Caenorhabditis elegans: one gene and its partners. The main gene of each other region encodes a partner of the protein of the gene in region 3 in a complex. Each region holds a gene or a part of one and is shown on either strand. Other genes may lie near its edges. A codon is read from its position in the direction of its gene.

Region 1 (3,760 bases), on a different chromosome or scaffold from region 3:
TTCATGAAATTTCTGATAGCAGCATTTTTCTCATTATCGATCTGAAAATTGACCAGATAAATATTTTTGCAGTGTTTTTAATGCATTCAATAATTACAAGATTATTCAATTTTGACTCGTGGTGTCCTAATTTTAGCATCTCTTCAACTTTTGTATGAGTTTTGGTTCCCAGTGACATTCTTTCCGTCATACTTGATTTGAATGCACTCAATCCCATTTCGTCAATTTTTGCTTTCTGCCACAAATATAATGCTTTTTGGTCACTGATCGCAGAAAGGATTGCTGAAAGAAAAGGTCGTCGGAGAGTTGAAGTCTCAGAATTCTCAGCAATTCGTTTCTCGGGAAATAGGCACGGATTATTAAATTCCGCTTCCGTTGGAGGAGCAACATCTATGAGCTTCGCAAAACTTGGCATTATTGAGGTTCCGTAGCGAATTGTGCATTTTCGAGACATGATCTGATTTATCTGGAATCAAATTGCTTGTTTTGTTCAAAATTAACCGACCGTTCAAAAATAAAAATAGCAAATCACATGCAGGAATACTACGAATATCGTTAAACAACAATCAGAAATTGGTACAAAACTTCATGATACAGATATAATGGAGGCGATATTAAGCGAAACAACGAACAAAACAAAAACAGAAGATTAACAACTTCAAACAGATGATTCTAAACGATAGACTTGATTACGGAGTTGTTTCACTCGAATGACAATCAGAAACGTCTCATCCATTTCTTCAACTGGAACGAAGTTCATGTCAACTACGTCGAGAATATTCTCAATTGGAGGTGCAAACTCGGTTTGAACAGCAGTATCCAGAGCAAGACGCAGATTATCTTGTTGACCAGGACCCATGTGGCATCCAGTAACTTTTCCGTCTTTCCCAATACCAAAGAGAACCACGGCGAGACGCTTTGAATTCAATGCATCACGGATTATCTGTTGGATGTCATGTGTCTCCATCAAGTTAATTTCATCCGCACTTCGAATATGAACATCCGTGAATTTGGTTCTGAATTCAATTTTGGCTCCAGCCTTGACAGTTGTTGTCAACTTTCCCAGTGTGATCAATTCTTTCAATGTCTTGTCTTTCTCGTATGCCATGGATACACATGAATCGATCCAGCGTTGATCGTGACGAGCAAATTCGAAACGAGGTGGACGAGACATGATTCCGTTGCGAACGTTGAAGCTGGTTCCATACACATTTCTGGAAGGATGAAGAGTTGAAATAGAAAATATTCAGAAAAGCTTCAAGACCTACTTTTTGGAAGCAAAATCTGGAATATCTTCTACTGATACGGCATGCTCTTCTTCGGTGATGTACTGCATATACTTCTTAAGTGAAGACATGTCGAAAGCATCCTTATTTTTGCATTTCGCATCAGAAGCTTGAGTTTCTGCAGAGGAAGAACTAACAGCTCCAACACTAATACCACTGTCCACATCCTCTAACTCGCTGCGATCGATGATATCAGGTTCAACTGAAGAGTCCAAGTCTTCGAAGAGTCCTTCAATTCGAGAATTCATCTGATCTCCTGCCAATGCTTTTCCAAGAAGAGCATCAAGAAGTGATTCCTCCACTTCGGCTGGAAAATATTTTGTTACAGAAAAAGAGCAAAAAACTATAAAACTGCTCACCTTGACCATCGTGAAGCTCGACAATTACTTCATTTTCGGAAGGGATGTCCACTTCTTCAGAGGATAATTCGTCATCTTCAAGTTCATCCACATTTTCAAGCTCATCATCGTCTTCAAACTCATCGTCGTTTTCAAATTCATCCTCGTTTTCATTTTCTTCGATTTCACTCAAAAAGCCGCTAAAATCTTCTTCATTTTCGGAATCCTAAAATTCTTGAATTATACTTTATTCTTGTTAATCCAGAAACTCACCGAATAAGAATCATTCTCTTCAAAAAGCGCAGCCATTGTTCCAAAAATAACTGAGACAGAATATTCGATTTCGAAGGATTGTCGAGGGAGCAGGATTTGGGACAAATTCCAGATAATTGTCTCAAAGTTGTGCTACCGTACTTTAAAGGTACATTGCTATTTTACATTAACAGGTTCCCGAATGGAATGCCATTTTTAATTTCTTGGGATCTCTATTGGTGATTATACAACTTTCGCAAATTCATTTTATTTAGAAAAGTTACTCTCGGCTTATATTTGACATTTACTTCAAATAAGAATATTATCTCTTTTTCCTCTTTCCCTTCCATTGAGACCCGAAGAACTCGGGGGATGTCCAACTGGGGGGATTACCAACTCGGGGGATTGGCCCCGCCCACAGAACCGTGGCTTGCAATACGCCCATTTCTGCAACTGCCGCACGGTTTTAAAATTATTTTTTCTTGTTAATTCTCGCTCTATTGAGAAAAATACAGTTTTAAAACCGTGCGGCAGTTGCAGAAATGGGCGTAATGCAAGCCACGGTTCTGTGGGCGGGGCCAATCCCCCGAGTTGGTAATCCCCCCAGTTGGACATCCCCCGAGTTCTTCGGGTCTCCTTCCATTGCTGTTTGTCTGCATTTGTGCGTAAAATGAGATGGCTGCACACATTTTCGAATTTTATTTTCTTTCCCTAAATTTCTATTTTTCATTCTATTTTCACGCTGACGCTTTCGTAAAATAATGGATATGGAAGTCGATGAGGCAATATCTGGTACTTCTTCTTCAAGACTTGCACCAATCGAAGAAGTGAGCTAATTTTTGAAAAACCTAGTATTTTAAATCGAATTTTTCAGGTAAAACCAACTCCAAAGCAAATTAAACGCATTGCGGCTCACAGTCACGTCAAGGGACTCGGAATTGACACAGAAACACAAGAAGCTCACTATGAGGTTTCTTTTTCAATTGTCCAATTTCAATAACTACTTATGAAATAAAGCCTATGCTAAATAAAATATTATTTCTACAGGCTGCTGGATTCGTTGGCCAAGCACCCGCCAGAACAGCTGCATCAATTGTAGTTGATATGATTCGATTGAAGTGTATGGCCGGACGAGCTGTATTGATTGCTGGACCACCCGCCACTGGAAAAACTGCAATCGCGCTTGCAATGTCACAGGAGTTGGGTGACGGCGTTCCATTTGTGCCACTTGTTGCAAGCGAGGTCTTTTCCAATGAAGTAAAGAAAACGGAAGTGCTCATGAGAAGTTTCAGAAGAGCTATTGGTCTGCGTGTTAAGGAAACCAAAGATGTGTACGAGGGAGAAGTTACAGAGTTGAGCCCCGTCGAAGCTTCAGATAATTCCGGAATGGGAAAAACCATCTCTCATCTTGTCCTTTCTTTGAAAACAGCAAAAGGAAGCAAGCAACTGAAATTGGATCCAAGCATCTATGACTCGATTTTGAAGCAACGAGTAGAAGTTGGTGATGTCATCTATATTGAAGCGAACTCAGGAATCGTTAAACGAGTTGGACGGTGTGATGTATATGCATCTGAGTTTGACCTCGAGGCTGACGAGTTTGTGCCAATGCCGAAAGGAGATGTTAGAAAGTCTAAAGATATTGTTCAAAACGTGTCTTTGCATGATCTGGATATCGCAAATGCCCGTCCACAAGGACGTCAAGGAGATGTTAGTAACATTGTTTCACAGCTGATGACTCCAAAGAAAACTGAAGTTACTGGTGAGTGATTGATAAACATTAAAACTCGAACCTTTCAATTTTTATTCTGTCTTTTAGATCGTCTTCGTTCTGAAATCAACAAAGTAGTCAACGAATACATTGAAAGTGGAGTGGCTGAACTAATG
Region 2 (3,350 bases), on a different chromosome or scaffold from region 3:
TTGGAACATTTTGGGTCCCAAAAAGCCAAGTCTCGAATTTCGGTGATCCTCCTTTAAGTCTGTGGAACTACTGAAAACTAGCAAAAAACGATGATTGTTAGGAGAATAATGCGGCTACGAAAATGTTGTGTGTATGTGTGTGTGGGGGCGTGGCGCTCTCCGAAGACTTTACGTGGACGACGTGGTAATTATGACGGTCAGAAGGCGGACAAGAGTGCGAGAGACGCAGAGAAGAGAAGCCCAACAGCCGTCGCCGAAAAAATAGACAAAGTATTCGTGACTATGGCTCACCGCCAACACTCTAAAACGGGAAAATCGATGTGGTGGAGAGGAGGAGGAGACGGAGGAGAGAGAGAAATACAGCGAAAGAAGTCGTCGTCGGAGGGCCCCCGACGTCGTCTGACGGCGGGGTGTCAGACGCAGTAGGTTAGACGAATGGCGCCTCGGGGCAACGCTTGCTGCGTCTCTGCGATTCGGAGAACTGTCTGGCCACCTTTTTACGGGACGATGGGCAGGGAAAACAAGGCAAAGTGAGAGAGAGAGAGAGAGATATGTGCGACGAGTTGAGGCACACAGAGAGGGAAAAGGCGCCCAGCGGCAGCAGCAGCAACACCCAGACCGATATATTTATATGTGCATGTTGTGGAGGCTGCTGCTGTATGTGTCTGTGTGTATGCTCACAAGAGCTCGAGACACCGGGACGGCTCATGAATTCCTGACGACGACGGCGACGCTGAATGCGGCAGAAGGAGAAAAGAAAACGGAGACGCACTCGTGGATAAATTGGAGAAATTGAGAACCACAGGCTGTAAACAATGCACATTTTTTGGGAAAACTCAGATTATCGACTGCAATCTGGAAAATAAATTTTTGAATTTTAAACCTGAAAATATAATTTTTTAGCCTGAATTCCCTGAAAGAGCTCAATTTCTGTGCGAATAACGAGTTTTCAGCGATTAATTTCATTATTTTACCGAATTTTCAATAAAATTTGAAAAATTTTACCTAAACAACTCGATTTTTATTTTAATACAAAAATAATTTTCATATTTTCCGCTGTTTTGTTTAAAGGGGGGCGCAATTCCGCAGACAAGATACTTCGCAACGACAAAAACTACGGTTACACTCGTTTTGCGTGTGTCTGGTGTTTGAATTTCAGGATTCGCGCCTTTCTTTCCATTTCTTCATTTTCCAAGGTTTTTCGGGGAAATCGCTCTTTTTTTTTTCACTTTTACGATTAAAAAACAGCTAGAATGTTTAAAAACTACTAGGAATTTCATGGGAAACGAATCATTTGATGATTTTTCGTCGAAGTTGAGCTGAATTCATTTTCTACTTTGTTTTATTGTTTTCCAAGCTTTAATATCAATTTATTGTGCCCGATGTTACCAATTACACTTGAAAAATCTAAAAAGCTTGGAAACTAGCCGAAAATGTGCAGTAAAACAAAATTTCCTATAAAATCCGAGTTATTTGAACCAAATTCATACTCTTCTCTATTTTATCGTTTTCCGAGCTCTAATCGTATATAATATTACCTATTTTCAGCTAAATGAGCACATCCGTAGCGGAAAACAAAGCATTGTCAGCTTCCGGCGATGTGAATGCGTCCGATGCTTCAGTTCCTCCAGAGCTTCTCACCAGACACCCCCTCCAGAATCGCTGGGCTCTCTGGTACTTGAAAGCTGACCGTAACAAGGAATGGGAGGATTGTCTGAAGGTAGAAGATTTTTAAATACGTCTTTTATCGATTTTTTCCAGATGGTTTCACTTTTCGACACTGTCGAGGACTTCTGGTCGCTGTACAATCACATTCAGTCTGCCGGAGGATTGAACTGGGGATCCGATTATTACTTGTTCAAGGAAGGAATCAAGCCAATGTGGGAGGACGTCAACAACGTTCAAGGTGGACGTTGGTTGGTTGTTGTCGATAAGCAAGTACGTTTTGAGAAATATATTTTATTCAATGAATCATAGAAGCTTCAGAGAAGAACGCAATTGCTCGATCACTACTGGTTGGAGCTGTTGATGGCTATTGTTGGAGAGCAATTCGACGAGTACGGAGACTACATCTGCGGAGCTGTCGTGAATGTTCGTCAAAAGGGTGACAAGGTTTCCTTGTGGACTCGTGATGCTACTCGCGATGATGTCAATCTTCGCATCGGACAGGTTTTGAAGCAGAAATTGAGCATTCCGGATACTGAGATTTTGAGGTAATTTTACAATTTTAGTATTTGCTATCTAAGTAAAATATTTCCAGATACGAAGTTCACAAGGACTCGTCGGCTCGCACCTCATCGACTGTCAAGCCACGCATATGTCTTCCAGCCAAGGATCCAGCACCAGTGAAGGAAAAGGGACCAGCCGCAACGACTTCTCCATCGAATCCCGGCACGGAGGCTACAGGAACTTCTCCAGCCACCCCAACTCCTTAAGCATATTCTAAAGATCTCACCAATTCCTCTCACCGTAAATGAGCTTCCCCGTACTCCCAGTCTCAATGTTGTCTTGAAAAATGAACTGTTTTTCGGACACGATCATCGCTTTAACTATTCGAAAATCAGCTCATTTTTCAAGTCGTACCCCCCACCTAATGTATTGGTGCTTCCCCTCCAATTTGTACCTACTGTTTCGCTTCCCCCTATTGATTTACCGGTTTTCGTATTGCTCTCTTGTTGTTACTAGATTCGAGACTGATCGACGCCTGTAGCCGAATTCGTTTGTTCTTCAGGTTAATTGATGAATATATATTTATTCGGTAAATATAAATAGATATGTTAGTTATTATTCTTCTTCACACACATGATTTGTAGGGCGTTTGATTTTGTACATTTTTAAAAATTGATTCTATTCTTGTTTTCAGGCAGACTTCTCCGATGTCTTTACAGTTTTTGCAGGCTTTGCCGTAGTCGATGTGTTCGAGCTAGACGAAGGAGCTGCGGCAACAGTCTTCTTGGTTGGCTTCCTAGCTTTCCGAGGTTTCCGTGTGCTCGTCGTGCTCGGCGAGCCGGTAGTGGTCTTTTTGTTTGCTTTGGCCGCATCGTCGTGTTGATAGGAATCAACATCCCGCGACATAATTCCCATCGGAGAGCCAATTCCTCGGTTCCAGTGATTCGAAGCAATGTTCATGTTGTAATCTATGGGAATTCCTCCTCCACGTGATGGGATCTGTGGTCCACTGCCGCCATAAAGCATACGCTCAAGTTGGGAATCATGGCTTCCGAATCGTTCGCGAAGATATGCGGGACCATAGCGTGACGCATAGGTGGCAAGCTCGCGAAGTGATGGGATCGCGGAATTTGTAGCTCCATTGAAACTGTTCATCAGGTCGTTAGATGCGTAATCAGCTG
Region 3 (3,894 bases):
AAATGGAACAGAGGTCGAAGGAAGTTCAAGATGCTTTAGATATCCTTAGCATCAATGGAGATGTTTCTTCTGACGAAGAAGCAGTATCTGTAAAAGAAGAATCTTCTGATGAAGCGGGAGTTAACACTTCCCAAGAAGTTATTCAGAATGATGATACTGAAGAATCTGAAAAATCGGAAACTATATCTCGTGAAGTGTCCAACACCGATGAATTCGGGATTGGAAACAATGTGGGATTTACTGCAAAAGTTGATGATCTTATTGAAAAAATCGCTGAAGCCGTTAAGGATCAACAAATATCAGAGACCACTGAAATTCGTTACAGTGATCCACTTGGGGCATTGGAACCTCTCGTGGGTGAACCCAACGAAATTGAAAAATCAGAACTTTTGTCTGAAATTCGCCAATTACGATCTGAAATCGAAGAGATGAAAGAAACGGAAGTGAAACAAAATTCAACGGTATAGTTTTTTGTAGGGATAAAATTAGTTGAAAATGTTTTTTTCTAGATAAGACTTCTCAAACTGAAGTTCGACGAGATTGACGAAAGGGAGAGACAGAAGGAATTACAGGTAAATTTTTGGAAGGAACTTAAGGCATCCATGGCATCGGTGGCAGGCAGGCGTACATGCCTGCCAACTCTCAATTTTTTACATTTGGAAGTGAACTCCAGTGCAATTTGAATAATGTAGAGCTACTTTGAACCAAAAAACTCCTGAAACTAAATGGATTTTAATTTTCGCAACATATTTTCTGCGCAAATATCTCGTAGCGAAACCTACAGTAACTTTTTCAATTCGAACTAAACTGAAAGATTTGGGGTTACAGTAGTCATTTACATATTACTGTGGATTTCTCTTCGAGATATTTTGAGCGTTAAATATGTTGCGTAATAGGCATTCTCAGTTGGAAATATCTACATAATAATTTAAAAAAATCATAGGCTTTAAACAAAAGATTTTGTGAAAAATCAGTCTCATTTTGGATTACAATTCGGGAGTAGCTTTCCTAAAACTCCTCCCTATCAATATATATTCCATCAAAAATTTGTTTTAATTTCCAGCGTTACACTCCGATTGCAACTGGAATCTGCGGTGCTTGGCGGCTCTCCGAGATCAATAAGTATAATGAAACACTCAAAACCCGTGGAGTATCGTTCCCAAATCGTCTGAAAACTCTTGCTGCTTACACCGTATACAACTTCGATGGTACTTATCTGAAATCTCACAATCAAGTTTTTTGTAAAACGTTTAACAGTGGCTGTTTGAAACTTGGAACTCATGAGATAACCGGTGGAATTGTTGTATCAACCTTCATTTATAGAAATAAAATGATAACAATTTGGAAGAATAAAGATGGAACTTCTTGTGTAAGAAAGGAGAGATACATTAAAGATGGAAAATTGTACAATGTGCACACAAACAATTCCGGCGAAAGGACTATACGCATTTTTGAACGAGTTCAGGGAAAATCAGATATCTTGTACTCAATTGCAAACGTCGGAGGACTCTATCTCAAATTTTGGTGATCACCTGCTTTCTTCAATCCACACAACTTGGTCTCGCAACGAAATATCATCTTAATGATTCTCAAATTCACAGCATTAATTAATTCGCTATTTTATTCAATAATTTTTAATTTTCTCCGTCCATTTGTCTTTCAAAATTTTTTAAAGCAATTTTTAATCATTTTAATCGTTCTCCGTGGGAAATAATGAATCTTTTCGAAATTCTGTGCCTGTAAATAATGATTTCAAGGGTACTGTAGTTTTTTTTAAACAAGTGCGCTCTATTGCACACCGCTGGAATACGCGCGAAAAATGGGAGATTTCATTTTTGCTCGCTTTTTTTGCATTTCAAGCATTTTTTTAAAATTAAAGCAAGAATATTTTCAGTTTCAGAATTACATTTTTTAGAGATGGCTTCCAGCTCGACCGCATATTATCTGAAAGACGCCGGATTCCATATTCGCAATATTCCGAAAGCTTGGAATGATTGGAACTTGTTCCATGTCTTCCAAAACTTTGGAAAAGTCAGTTATTGCCGTGTTGTTGGACAATCCAACGATGGTCAAGTTCAATTGGGGTAAGATAGTGAGACTCTAGAAACGATTCATTTAAAATCTTCAGATTTGTGAACATGATGTCGGTAGCAGATGCTGATGAAGTTCGCAAGAATTTGAACGACGGAAATCTGATCGGCGAAAATTTCACGTTGAAGGTGAGCGTTGCGAATATATAAATTCAAATTAAAACTGTAATTTTAAGGTTACCGATCATAAGAACGTCGGAGGATCTCTTCTCCCAATGGCTTCCAATTCCGTTCAGAAGCTTGTATCATCTCCACCATCGAAAAGCGGACCAGTTCTTCTATCATCATCCTGGCTTCCACTCAACAAGGATATCGAGGTTTCTTACTTTTCCTTCAGCTTATATTAAATTTTCAATTTAGGTCGAAGTTGTCGACTATCTTCCATCCTCATCAGTGGCTCCAGATCTTTTCGCGTTGACTCTTCTCCGCATAAATGATTCGTCAATGAAAGAAAAATATGATTCAATGCACGAGAAAATGAACGCGTATGCTCAAATTGTTCCATTCGATTCGGAGCTCGAAATTGGCTACGATGGAGTCTTCCGTGATGCTCCCCGTTCCGTTCGACGCGTTCGACGCATCTCAGCCACCAAGCTTTATCTCGTTGATTTTGGAAAAATTATCAATTATGAGAAGGCAAAATGCTTCCAATTGCCAAAAGTTTTCCAGTCGATGCCGACAAGGGTAAGAGTTCCATTCAAATGTTTAACATATTTTTTCTATTTATTTTCAGGTTTCCTTGTGTGGACTAGATGGTCTTACCTGGTCACCAGTCGCCATTCCATCATTTGATAATATTCGCGAGGTTGTTAAAAAATGGGGACAAATGGAAAATTCGACGCTTCACGCCATGGCTTGTGGATTTCAAGGCTCTATTAACATGATCAATCTGTTCTGTGGAAAATGTGCGTTTTTTCTTTTGAAAATTCCCCTCATAATAATTTTTACAGCGATTCTTGCTGACCGTCTTCAACGTAAAGGTGTCTGTGAATACTTGCCACGCAGTCAGCAGCCACACTATGCATACTCCCGCGAGACTCTTCTTCAGCACAATAATTCTGGAGTGGTGAGATTTGATGATTTAAAGGGATTTTCAGTTTTAATTTGGCTTTATTTTCAGACTGCTCAAATTTCGAACGATGCTGATGTCGTCAAAGATCTACTCAAGAAGATTGATGGAGTGAAGAACATGCTCCGTGAGCTCGAGCTGTAAATCTGTCCCATTTTTTTTGTCGAAATTACATTGAATCTATGATGTTGTCAAAAAAATGAACATTTTAATTCAGTGTCAGATTTTATAAGAACAACAACAAGAAAAATAACAACGAGAAAACAACAAAAAGAAAAGAAAATCAACAAGAAAAAAATCAAGAAACTTTGAAAAGTGAAAACTAATCGCTGTTCCAGGCGTCGTAATTCAAGAAGTTGGTTACAACATTGTGTCGCATCCTTTCCATCTTGCCGGAAGCTTCACGAATTTTTCCTGCCAATTCAGAGGAAGATCCGTTTTTAAGCGTCTGAAATGAAATTAATATTATATTTTGATAACATTGTTCGCGGTTACATTAGCGCTCATGGCCAGGGTAACACCGTCCAGAACGATTCCGATGGCTGCAACGCTCTGCAGCATTCCTTTCATAAGTGCATTCGTGAGATGGCCCTAAAAACGAAGGTAAAAATTTAAATTTCAAAAAAACAACTATTCTACCATGGAAGATGCGGCCATTTTAATTCCGAATCCTGTGATTCCGGCGAGAGAAACACCAAAAAGTGTTTTCAAATGAGACTGGACATCGTCGAAGTT

What was found.
Region 1: the proteins of tofu-6 (region 3) and tofu-1 are in contact, whole or in part, in a crystal structure (PDB 9G6Z), measured with the Caenorhabditis elegans proteins. Residues at the interface, in NP_001293507.1 of Caenorhabditis elegans: Ser259 (codon at 2,875), Asn262 (codon at 2,884), Ile263 (codon at 2,887), Val266 (codon at 2,896), Trp270 (codon at 2,908), Met273 (codon at 2,917), Glu274 (codon at 2,920), Ser299 (codon at 2,995), Leu301 (codon at 3,046), Arg304 (codon at 3,055), Leu305 (codon at 3,058), Lys308 (codon at 3,067), Val310 (codon at 3,073); in NP_505568.3 of Caenorhabditis elegans: Glu85 (codon at 1,582), Ser86 (codon at 1,579), Leu87 (codon at 1,576), Leu88 (codon at 1,573), Asp89 (codon at 1,570), Leu91 (codon at 1,564), Leu92 (codon at 1,561), Gly93 (codon at 1,558), Lys94 (codon at 1,555), Ala95 (codon at 1,552), Leu96 (codon at 1,549).
Region 2: tofu-6 (region 3) and ife-3 share a complex: the UniProt entries of both Caenorhabditis elegans proteins name them as parts of the tost-1 variant of the PETISCO complex.

The regions. Positions count from the first base shown.
Region 1 is NC_003283.11:9,979,574-9,983,333, reverse strand, and holds tofu-1 (Schlafen-like protein 1), read right to left. Parts: upstream 2,188-3,760; 5' UTR 1,934-2,187; coding exon 1,898-1,933; intron 1,851-1,897; coding exon 1,646-1,850; intron 1,594-1,645; coding exon 1,269-1,593; intron 1,215-1,268; coding exon 659-1,214; 3' UTR 568-658; downstream 1-567. Other genes in the region: C27H6.9 (Mitochondrial genome maintenance exonuclease 1), read right to left, coding at 1-41, 98-454; ruvb-1 (RuvB-like 1), read left to right, coding at 2,638-2,703, 2,751-2,846, 2,924-3,635, 3,693-3,760. UniProt on the Caenorhabditis elegans protein: Component of the trimeric PUCH (precursor of 21U RNA 5'-end cleavage holoenzyme) complex, that acts as an endoribonuclease processing the 5'-end of precursor Piwi-interacting RNAs (piRNAs).
Region 2 is NC_003283.11:6,021-9,370, reverse strand, and holds ife-3 (Eukaryotic translation initiation factor 4E-3), read left to right. Parts: upstream 1-1,541; 5' UTR 1,542-1,552; coding exon 1,553-1,720; intron 1,721-1,761; coding exon 1,762-1,938; intron 1,939-1,977; coding exon 1,978-2,213; intron 2,214-2,260; coding exon 2,261-2,435; 3' UTR 2,436-2,783; downstream 2,784-3,350. Other genes in the region: B0348.10 (uncharacterized protein), read left to right, coding at 632-796; idpp-2 (Intrinsically Disordered Protein, expressed in Pharynx), read right to left, coding at 2,860-3,347. UniProt on the Caenorhabditis elegans protein: Recognizes and binds the 7-methylguanosine-containing mRNA cap during an early step in the initiation of protein synthesis and facilitates ribosome binding by inducing the unwinding of the mRNAs secondary structures.
Region 3 is NC_003280.10:5,419,362-5,423,255, forward strand, and holds tofu-6 (Embryonic developmental protein tofu-6), read left to right. Parts: upstream 1-1,886; 5' UTR 1,887-1,917; coding exon 1,918-2,084; intron 2,085-2,128; coding exon 2,129-2,219; intron 2,220-2,266; coding exon 2,267-2,407; intron 2,408-2,450; coding exon 2,451-2,774; intron 2,775-2,823; coding exon 2,824-2,995; intron 2,996-3,040; coding exon 3,041-3,156; intron 3,157-3,210; coding exon 3,211-3,303; 3' UTR 3,304-3,376; downstream 3,377-3,894. Other genes in the region: EEED8.15 (PHR domain-containing protein), read left to right, coding at 1-461, 510-572, 1,064-1,528; F07F6.7 (Apolipoprotein L, 1), read right to left, coding at 3,482-3,607, 3,655-3,750, 3,799-3,894. UniProt on the Caenorhabditis elegans protein: Component of the pid-1 and tost-1 variants of the PETISCO complexes, which have roles in the biogenesis of a class of 21 nucleotide PIWI-interacting RNAs (piRNAs) that possess a uracil residue at the 5'-end (also called 21U-RNAs) and embryogenesis, respectively.